2 linked regions of the Danio rerio genome follow. The protein of the gene in region 2 interacts with the protein of the main gene of each other region in a pairwise test. Links are inferred from orthologs where the notes say so. Each region holds a gene or a part of one and is shown on either strand. Other genes may lie near its edges.

Region 1 (5,317 bases), on a different chromosome or scaffold from region 2:
TATTGAATATCTTTGGAGCTGAAGTTGTTTGATGTATTTTTTATTATTATTTATATATTTTGTAGTCATTTATTTATATGTATTAACCATTTTCAAATAAAGTCATTAAAAATAAGCCATTGGTTGCCTTTTGTTTTTCCCAGCCGTTCTTAAATGCCAAGAAGTTGCAAACGCAAGCACTTCTACATTCCATCCTCAAATGAAAGGGTTGCCCTAATGTGATCCAAGAGTAATTACCAACTTCATTGCCTATAATTTCACAGATTTACTTCATACCTCTGCAGAAGCATGCCTAAACAATAAAAAATGTGTATACACAGCTGAAATGGCTGTTGTGTGAAAAAGCACCTTCAGCTGTGTTCTTATTGTGACAATTATATTTATATACATGTGCGTGATTGACTTATATTTATGAGTAATATATCACGTCTGTCAAATGCGTGTCAATGCTGTTTTGATACCACAAGATGGTGGCAAACTTTAAAGAACAGTTTTGGACTTTCCCTAGGCAGAACATCATGAACTCACACAAACATTACATGCTCAACGGGACTTTCTGCCGTTTCATGTGTGCTGCTTTTGGCAGAGGGATAAAGATTCTTCGCACTAAGAATGAGGGTTTAGACATTGTAAGTTTGTTAATTACTGTGTAATTAAAATGACTGTTTTATGGTTCAATCTTCAGATCACAAACTAAGCACCGTTGGCTTTCATTGTCTAGACAATTGACAAGATGTGATCCAAGATAATGGCAGGCATTATCCATTATGAAAAGAGGAATGGTATGAGATGGAATCTTTTAAGAAAGGGGAGTTTTAGGCAGTGTTATGTTATTTTCATCCAAATATTCAAAACATTTTTAAAATAATAATTAAAAATACTATTTGGTAAGATTCACATTAATCTAAATATTTTTAGATTATATTAGATTAGATTATACTAAACATTTTTAGAAATATTTTTATTAAAAATACAAAATATTTTTTATTAAAAGTTAATTTGATTTAAATAATTACACAGGCAAAAATGATGAGTAGAAATGATATATATTTAATGTATTTATTTATTATTTATTAGTCTTGAACAAGAATTATCTTTAACATTTTAGGAGGGGGTCCTATGGTGGTGGTGTCTGAAAGCCTCTGGTAAACAGACTAACAGAAAGGTAAACAGTTTCGGTTCCCAATGGAAACAAAACAATGGAGCTAAATAGGAAACAACATGTTACAGCTTTCTTTAGCTAAAGAATTCCGTTTTGTAAAAGGGTTAATCTTATTTTTGATATTGGACTACGTTATACTTTAAAGTGTGGGATATTTTTATAATAAGCTATGGTGTGAATAGACTCCTGCTTTCGATTTTGAACTTTACCTACGTTTCCATATGTAAAGATTTGTCACCTGTCCAAGTTCAACTGACTACTCCCTTCACGGATGCTACTTGAGAATACTGTGCGTGTTAAACTGCTCGTTGTACCGTGTTCGGGAGCGACGTGACAAACTTAATCGTTATAACCAAGGAAGCTAAAAGCAAACGTTTAACCACCACGCGCGTCACTGACAGTATAAAGTAGCATGCTGGTCGCGCGCAATCCTCGTCCACGCGCACCAGGCGGCGTCAAACTGAACTGTAAACTTAATCCGACACGAAGGAGCGAGTCGACTGTCTCTTAAACGTGTAAAATCACTATTAAACCGCACACGACTCGACAGTTAACTCGTTTGAAGGCAAAACAGCGCCTGTAACCCCAACTATTCTCGACGTTTTATGTGCAGTACAAAAAATATACCCAGTTTGAGATGGGGGGAAGTCCCCGTGAGGAAATCCCCTGTTCATAATTTCGAAATTGAGTGAGGCTCTCGCAGACTGAAACTGCTCTGAAACATTTTGGTCTAACATAAGTTACAGCAGACGCCTGTGAGCCCTATGACACTCAGACCTGTACAATATATGGGAAATTTGTACTATATGTGCTCGTTTTAACGGATTGCTCAGCATGGATGAGATGAAGAGGGAGAACGAGGCGCTGAGGGCGAAGTTGCGCAGCTGCTCTACTCTCAACACAATTTACCACGAAACACAGCAAGAAATTGCTCGTTTAAATCAGTTGGTGACCTCCAAAGACGGGATTATTGCCGATTTGAGGGCAAGACTGGGGAAGTATGAGAAAACCGTGGTCATTGAGGGAGAGGAACCTTATATTGTAGGGCCATCGAAGTCACTCATCGAAAGTTTGTGTAAGGAAATTTGCAAATTAAAGCAAAAACTGAAGGATTTAGAGAAAGACACTGCCCAGAAATTGGAAACCAGAGACAAAGTAAGTTAAACACAATTCTGAATTAATAATATGAAATAATTAATAACATTTTCTCTACTAATTAGAGTAAATTTGTTGTTTTTCTTGTCAGTATACTTTTCCAATGACTGTAAAAGAACTGTAAAGTATCCTCTCTATAAAATACTCCAATTCCTAACTCAAGAAATTGTAATGAAATTAATGTTATATCACAAAAACAAAACATGTAAACCAGCTTACAATGTGTTGCTGGTCTTAGCTGGTTTATGGTGGTCTTCAAGTCAGCTAACATTAAGTGCCTTTGAAAAACTGACCAGAAAACTTAAGTTTAAGCTTTGTTTTTCTTGCTTGTTTGTACTGTTAGTCCGGCTTTTTATGTACAACTTTGTTCATGAATACAGAATATGCTTTAGTTTTGATGAAACAAGTGCATTTCGTGTTCACCTTCTCATTTGTGAATCTCCCGACTGCTTGTTTAAGGAGATCCAGAGATTGCAGGAAAAGTTGAAGGAGAGGGATCAAGAGTTGCTGACCATCAGGGAAAGACCAGAGCAGGAGAAAGAGAGGGAGATCCAGCAACTGCGCACCACATTGGCCGAAAGAGATCGGACACAGGCCACCAGGACTGTACTTTGCAACTCTCTTGCTGAAGAAGCCGATCAGTTAAGGGCCCAGTTGGGGGCCACTGTGCAGGTGTGTCAGGAGCTTTTGGGACGGCTGGAAAACGAGAAAAACAAAACAGCCATGACGGATCAGAGAACTCAAGTTCATGAGGTGCGTTGTGGAAACTGTCAGTCTGCAACATTTAAGGCACCTTTAAAACAGCTGCCTAATGATTATATTTGACCTTATATTTTATCAGACATCAGATTCCCCCGAAGTTCCCCAGCTAAATGTCATCATTAGCAAGTTAGAAGAGGAGAACGACCAGCTCAAGAAGAGAGTGGCATATGTAAGGATCACATGATGGAACTGTTGTTTGATCATCACCCTCTGACATTTGTTTTACCTGTGTCATATGCTGAAAATGTCATACTGTAACTGTTACGGAAAGAATCAACAGTGTAAAAAAATTCTTGGAAAATGTCATGTAATTTTTTCACATCACAACTTGTTTTGTTCCATTTCAGGTGGAAAGTTTAAACTCAAAATGGCAGAAGTATGACTCGAGTAGAGAAGAGTACGTGAGGGGTTTGTGTCAGAAGTTGAAAGAGTCAAATGGACTGGCTTCCGCAGATCCGACTCTAACCCAAGCCCCGACTGCGGGACACGTGGCTTTGTTCCAGCAGGAAATTGTGAGACTCAACGGCCTCCTGCAGGACAAGATGATGGAGTGTGAGAGATTCAGTAGAGAGAGGGATGACAATGCGAGAAGAGACCAAGAGCAGATACAGATGCTCGAGCAGCAGGTCTGTATCCGTTCAGTGTGTACAATCCTATTAAATAGGAAGTCGTTGTATTTTTGTCATAACAAAGGTGAGAAGTAGTTTTGTTGTTTGGCTTGCTGCCCATAACACAAATGGCTTACTTGTACACTCACAGGTTCTGGCCTATGTTGAAGACTTTAAATCGGAAAGGGCAGACCGAGAGAGGGCTCAGGGTAAAATCATGGACCTTCAAGATGAAGTTGGGCGACTTCAGCTGCAAATACGTTCACAGGCAAGTCTAATTATTAATTATTCATCAAGGTATTTAAAAATAATTTTAAAATATGCATTGTATCATTTAAAGTCCCAATAAAATCATTTGTAGCATTCTGATTTAGCGTTACAAAATAAATAAATGGACATAAGCATTTATAAGTTGTATTTGAACAAACACGACAGGGTTTTTTCTGGCACAAAATAAGCCGAAGATGGAAGATGAAATGTTTGCTACTTGAAACAAGCACATTTTGCATTCTTTTTAGTAACCCACTCAAGTTAAACATGTTCATATTTAAAAAGGCAGATATTATATGCAACTAAATAAATGACCAATGCTTGAGCATCACTTGGGGTCTGTTGGTTGCCGTGACTGCATGCCTGATTGGTCAAAAGCTGGAGGTGGTGCAAAAAATTATGGAGGTGGCCACCTCACAATTCTCTTTGCAGGAAAAACCCTGCATGCCATTTTACACAAACAATAATGATCAATTAAGTGTTTACCAAAGACAATAAAATGTCAGCGTAATCCCAAATAATTTTATTAAAAAAATAAAAATAAATCAATCAAATTAAAACTATTTAATTTGTCATTTTAACATATTGTCTGAATCTTTGCTGCTATCCCTTAAACCACTAGGTTTCGCCCATTTGACAAGTTTTCAATTAGTGAATTTAGTAAGAATTTAAATTATCTTCTTATTTTTTTAAAAGAACACACTTCTGCTCACCAAACCTGCATTTATTTGTTCAAAAGTACAGCAAAATCAGTCAAAACATGACTTTCATTAATAATTTTAATATTTAATCACAGTTTAATGATGATATTCATAATTAATTGATGAAGAGAACGTCAAACAAAATCAATCATTTTACCTAAATTCAAAAGCTTTTGACATCATACACATTATACTACTTAAAAGCAGTGACAGTCAGTATTTTTTTATTTGTTACCTTTACTTAGCAAGGATACTTTATATTAAAATTTAAAAGTATGTTTCTTTATTTAACCGGATAAAAACCCATTGAGATTAAAATCTTAGGTCCACAACACGACTTATGAATAAAAAATAATAATAACAACAACAATAATAGTAATAATAATAAATAGAAAGTTAAGATAATATAAAAATTACAGTTTAGTTGTTCAGCTATACCACATTACAATATGTTAAAAACACATACACTGAGAAATGGACTGTTGTTTGTCAAAAAGGATAGAACGAAAACATTTGATTGGAATGAGCTCAGATATTAAAAGTATTTAATAGTTATGATTATTAAAAATAATGATAAAGGCATTTATAATGTCACGGTAGATTTCTATTTCAGATAAATGCTTCTAAAGACAAGATTAAAATATTCTGCTCAGCAGTTT
Region 2 (5,146 bases):
CTGGAAGAGCCATTTGTGGCTGAGTTGTAATGTCCTGGCTGATGTGTTGAGATGTTGCTTCAGTATTTCTCCATGATGTTCTGTCTTCATGATGCCATCTATGCTGTGAAGTGGACCAGTCCCTCCTGCAGCAGAACAGCCCCACAACATGATGCTGCCGCCCCCATACTGCACAGTTGGGATGGTGTTCTAGGCTTGTGTGTTTCCCCTTTGTCCTCCAGATGTAACACTGCTCATTATGGCCAAACAGTTCAATCTTAGCTCCATCAGAGCACAGGACATGTCTCCACACATTAGTCTGTTCCCAGTGTCATTCAGCTAATGGAAATCTGGCTTTGTTGTTGATTGTGGCTTGTTGATTTTCTCATGTTGTCACAGAAGGAAGCAGTGTGTTTGAGCTTTTCCTTCAACACTATTCTACAGTTGTGCCTCACATTAACTCAAATGTTGTCAATTAGCCAATCAGAAACTTCCAAAACCCTGACATCATCATCTGAGCTTTTCCAGAGGCAGAATAATCTGATTGTGTGTAAACTTGACTTTCAACAAGAGTTAGAACAATTCCTCAACATATATCTCTAATTATTCTGCTATCAAGCAGAACAGAAACACATGTGATCATCCTCACTTACCTAAAAGAGAAAAAGTTTAGTCACATTAACATCTGACTTTTTTTAAATGGTCATTTGCCCTTTTATACAGTGTATGTAAACTTCTGCTTTCAGCTATATATTTAAAACTATAACATTTCTACAAATAAATCAATAAATAAACATCAACTCAACTCATTTTGCCATTTAAAATACTGCATTAACAAATACTCGTTAGTGTGCTAACAAGAATATTGCAATTTATACAGCCTGTACAGATTATTTAATACAGCACAAATACAGATTATTTATTAAAATATTTAAAAAGTGTAAGAATTACAAAATTCACTCTTACTGTATTTGCCACTTTTATATAATAATAATATAATAATAATAATAATAACATGTAATATATTTAATATTTATTCCTCGTATGCAAGTATTTAGCCTGACAATAACCAGATAATAGACAATAAATCCATAATAAAGGTGTAAATTACCAAGAATTATATAAGAATGCCATTTAGATTCGCCGTAAATCCCCTCTGATGTGCTCCAGCACACCACACATAATAATAATCTTTGATAAACATATTTGGATATTTTTGATTATGGTCATATTCCCAGTACTGGGTTGCAGCTGGAAGGGCATCCGCTACGTTAAACATATTCTGGATGAGTTGGTGGTTCATTCCACAGTGGCGACGCCAGACTTATAAAGGGACTAAGCCGAAAAGAAAATAAATAAATGAATGGATATGATCATCTTCAAGTTGGAACTTTCCTGCGCGCGTTTCCGTCTGGAGGCCTCGAGCGCGTTCACGGATGTGCGCATGCGTACTGCAGCGAGGGGAGGGAGGTAAACAAGATGGCGGCAGCCTTGAAGCAGCAGCAGCTGTGAAGAACAGAAGCGAGAAAACAGAGGAATAAAGAGCGAAAAAGAAGGAGAAGAACGACTGTGTGTCCGTCAGTGAGCCGAGCGGAGGAGGCCAGCGTCAGGTCAGTGTGTGTGCGCGTGTCTCTGTCTGTGTCCGTGTGTGTGTGTATGTGTGCATTAGCCGCCGCTAACCGCCGCCGACAAACACTTTCCTTCCATCGACACAAACACTCATACACACAAACACACACGCATATCTACATGTATACATACGCACACACATCGCGGCTGATCGATGATCCGCAGTTGATGGTCAGGTGATCAGATCAATAATCAATCAATTAATCAATCAGCTCATCTGATCTCCGGTTCTCCTCAGTTCTCGACCGTTTGATAGAGATCTGTGTTTGTGTATTCTGTGTGTGTCGTTGTGTTGTGTTTTCTCTCAGTGTGTGTTCTATTTTCTTGTGTGTAGTTTGTGTTAGTGTGTGTGTGTGAGATTGTAAAATCCTCTTTTGCAGTCTTTTATTGATATCCAGACTCATTAGACTGATCTTCATTCCTGTGTCGCTTCTATATCTCAGTCTAGATCGTATTAAAACATTGAAGAGAACTAAAATAAAGAATAAAGGAGCTGTAATATTTAAAATGGAACTAAAGTTTGTTTAATATTAGCACGTTTGTTCAGTGACTAGTTGTGACACGCTCCCTATATTGTTTACCATGATGCTTTGAATATTGGGTCTGAAATCAGACATAATTATGACCTCAAATCAACATTAGCACTATTTAACTGACTGTCAGCAATCTTGTTTTTCATCAGCTGAAAATGTGATTGTCCTTTTTTAGGATTTGCAAAGAAAACTTTTCTGAGATTATATTATTAAGGAGAAAGTCCAGAAGTGTGAAACTAACTTTCCCCCAGTATATTTAAATGCTGGAACTTATGAAGAGCTCATGCAAAATACAAATGTAATTTTGATCATTATTTTCAATCTCAATCAACAATTTTATATCTCAATGAAAAGCTTATGCAAATATGTTATACAAGCAATGTGTGACTGCTGGAGTCTCGGCTGGGTCAGTTGGTGTTTCTGTGTGGAGTTTGCATGTTCTCCATGTGTTGGAGTGGGTTTGCTCTGGTTTCCCCCACAGTCCAAACACATGCGCTATAGGGGAACTGATCAACTAAATTGGCCGTAGTGTATGAGTTTTTGTGTGTGTGAATGAGTGGGTCTGGGTGTTTCCCAGTACTGGGGTTTTTTACTGGTAATTTAAATTTAATTTGTTTGCACAAGAACAAAATAAGTAAATACAACAAATAAAAGTGCAATCCACACTGTGACAAGCCAAAAACATATTCAAAATGCTGTACAGTTGAAGCTAGAATTATTCGGCCAACCTTGGATTTGGAAATGGAAATATTTCACAAATTATGTTGAACAGATTGAGGAAATGTTCACAGTATGTCTGATAATATTTGTTCTTCTGGAGAAAGTGTGATTTGTTTTATTTCGGCTAGAATAAAAGCAGTTTTTAATTTTTTTAAAAACATTTTAAGGTCAATATTATTAGCCCCTTTAAGCTATTTATTTTGTTTCGAACAAACCGTCATTATACAATGACTTGCCTAATTACCCTAACTTTACCCTAATTACCCTAGTGAAGCCTTTACATGTCACTTTAAGCTGTATAGAAGTGTCTTGAAGAATATCTAGTCTAATATTATTTACTGTCATCATGACAAAGAGAAAATAAATCAGTTATTAGAGATGAGTTATTAACACTATTATGATTAGAAATGTGCTGAAAAAAATCTGCTCTCTGTTAAACAGAAATTAGGTAAAAAATAAAAAGGGGGCGAATAATTCTGAATTCAACTGTATGTGTTTGACTCTTCTAAAGCATAGAAATACCATAGTATGTTTGCAGATATTTAAGAAACATGCTAAATGAGCATGTTTTTCAGAGAAATAATTCAGCAGTCAGTTCTTCTGCTTTGAGAATGTGCTTTCAGTGTCAGAATATCTGTCTTTGCTTTCTCTGTAACTCTGCCCCACAGCCAGTTTTACAAGTTATATTTCAGCACTCCGGGTTGCCAGATGGTGGAAAAGTGTGCATTTCATTCATGAAGGCTGTCAATGTATCTGTGGGGGTCAGTCTTGCTTGCTGTTCCTTTTAAAGCTGCCTATTCTAAAGAAAGCAAAACAACTACAAAGCAAGAAAAAAAAAAAAAAAAAAAAAATATATATATATATATATATATATATATATATATATATATATATATATATATATATATATATATATATATATATATATATATATATATATATATATATATATGGGTGACACGGTGGCTCAGTGGTTAGCACTGTGGCCACACAGCAAGCCCGGCTGGGTCAGTTGGTGTTTCTGTGTGGAGTTTGCATGGTCTCTCCAGGTTGGCGTGGATCTGCTGTGTAAAACATGTGCTGGAATAGTTGGCGGTTCATTCTGCTGTGGCGAGTCCTAATTAATTAGGGACTAGGCATGGGACAATAACCGGTTTTAAGGTTTACCGCGGTTTTAAAAATTCAAGGTATAAAGCCGCTAAAACATTGTGTTATATCAGTCCTAAGGTATTTGTAGGTTTTGTTTTTCATGACTTTTATTGAGTTTTTTTAGGGCAACAGTAGAAAAGTAGCATCCACACCACAAGTTACTGGTCAGTATATGATTCAGTAAGCATCTAAAACACAAATCTCTTTTAAACCAACATCCAGCATGCTGAAGAGCTGAACAGTGCAGCGGCTTAAGCCTAGTTCACACTAGAGGATTTTAAGCCTGATTTGAGCCCGATTTGGAAGTTAACGAGCTCGCCGACAGATCGGGCTGTGATCGGGAAGAAATCTGCGGGTGCTCGGCGCTCGCCGCTCTTTATGTGTGAACTACTGAACAACGCATCAACGAGGCTCGCTGACGCGTCGCCGACACCTCGCCGACACCTCGCAGACGGAAATCCAACATTCAGCATGCTGAATATTCCAGAGCAGTCGGCCGACTCAACCCCACGTGTGGTTAGATGTAGTGACGAGCTGCAGCCAATGAGAGAGCAGATCAGCATGAGCAGAATGCCTGTGTGTTCAGGAGCTCAGCAGAAACATCTGTGATTGGTCAGAATGGGCATCGGTGCACTCGCTTCATTCTGCGTTAGCACAGACATGAGAGGAGGATATATTAACAGTGGAACTAGAATTCTGTAACTATTAGAATTACCATACTGCTCATTCTGACCGTTCTCATATAAAACGCCATACTGTCACAACATATTTACATTCAGAGCTATTATTGAGATATTAAAATTAAGCTTTGAATGTCTGCCATCATATTTAATGACACCATTACCCTAAAAATATAATATGTTTTGGTAATACAGCCTATAAATATGTAGCTAAGATACTAAAACACTTAAAGGTCTTGGCTTTCATTTTCACTTTCAAACAGGAGCTATTTCACAGCACAGAATATGCTGTTTTGAAAGATATCTGCAGTAAATTGATGTTTTTGCCATCAGAAAGTTTTGTTTATGTTAGCAGGAAGTTGCCAGGCAAGGAAATGCACACATATTTAAAGTCATAGCGAAAAGTATCAGACATGCATGCAGTCATTCTGACCAATATGGTAAATTAAGGCAGAA

What was found.
Region 1: the proteins of stk11 (region 2) and tnip2 interact in binary tests that used the Homo sapiens proteins (3 or more experiments, as listed by UniProt). The link is inferred for Danio rerio from reciprocal best matches to the Homo sapiens genes STK11 and TNIP2.

The regions. Positions count from the first base shown.
Region 1 is NC_133176.1:40,470,579-40,475,895, reverse strand, and holds the start of tnip2 (TNFAIP3-interacting protein 2), read left to right. Parts: upstream 1-1,596; 5' UTR 1,597-1,996; coding exon 1,997-2,317; intron 2,318-2,776; coding exon 2,777-3,070; intron 3,071-3,158; coding exon 3,159-3,248; intron 3,249-3,426; coding exon 3,427-3,705; intron 3,706-3,838; coding exon 3,839-3,955; intron 3,956-5,317. UniProt on the Homo sapiens protein: Inhibits NF-kappa-B activation by blocking the interaction of RIPK1 with its downstream effector NEMO/IKBKG.
Region 2 is NC_133177.1:63,068,419-63,073,564, forward strand, and holds the start of stk11 (serine/threonine-protein kinase STK11), read left to right. Parts: upstream 1-1,434; 5' UTR 1,435-1,593; intron 1,594-5,146. UniProt on the Homo sapiens protein: Tumor suppressor serine/threonine-protein kinase that controls the activity of AMP-activated protein kinase (AMPK) family members, thereby playing a role in various processes such as cell metabolism, cell polarity, apoptosis and DNA damage response.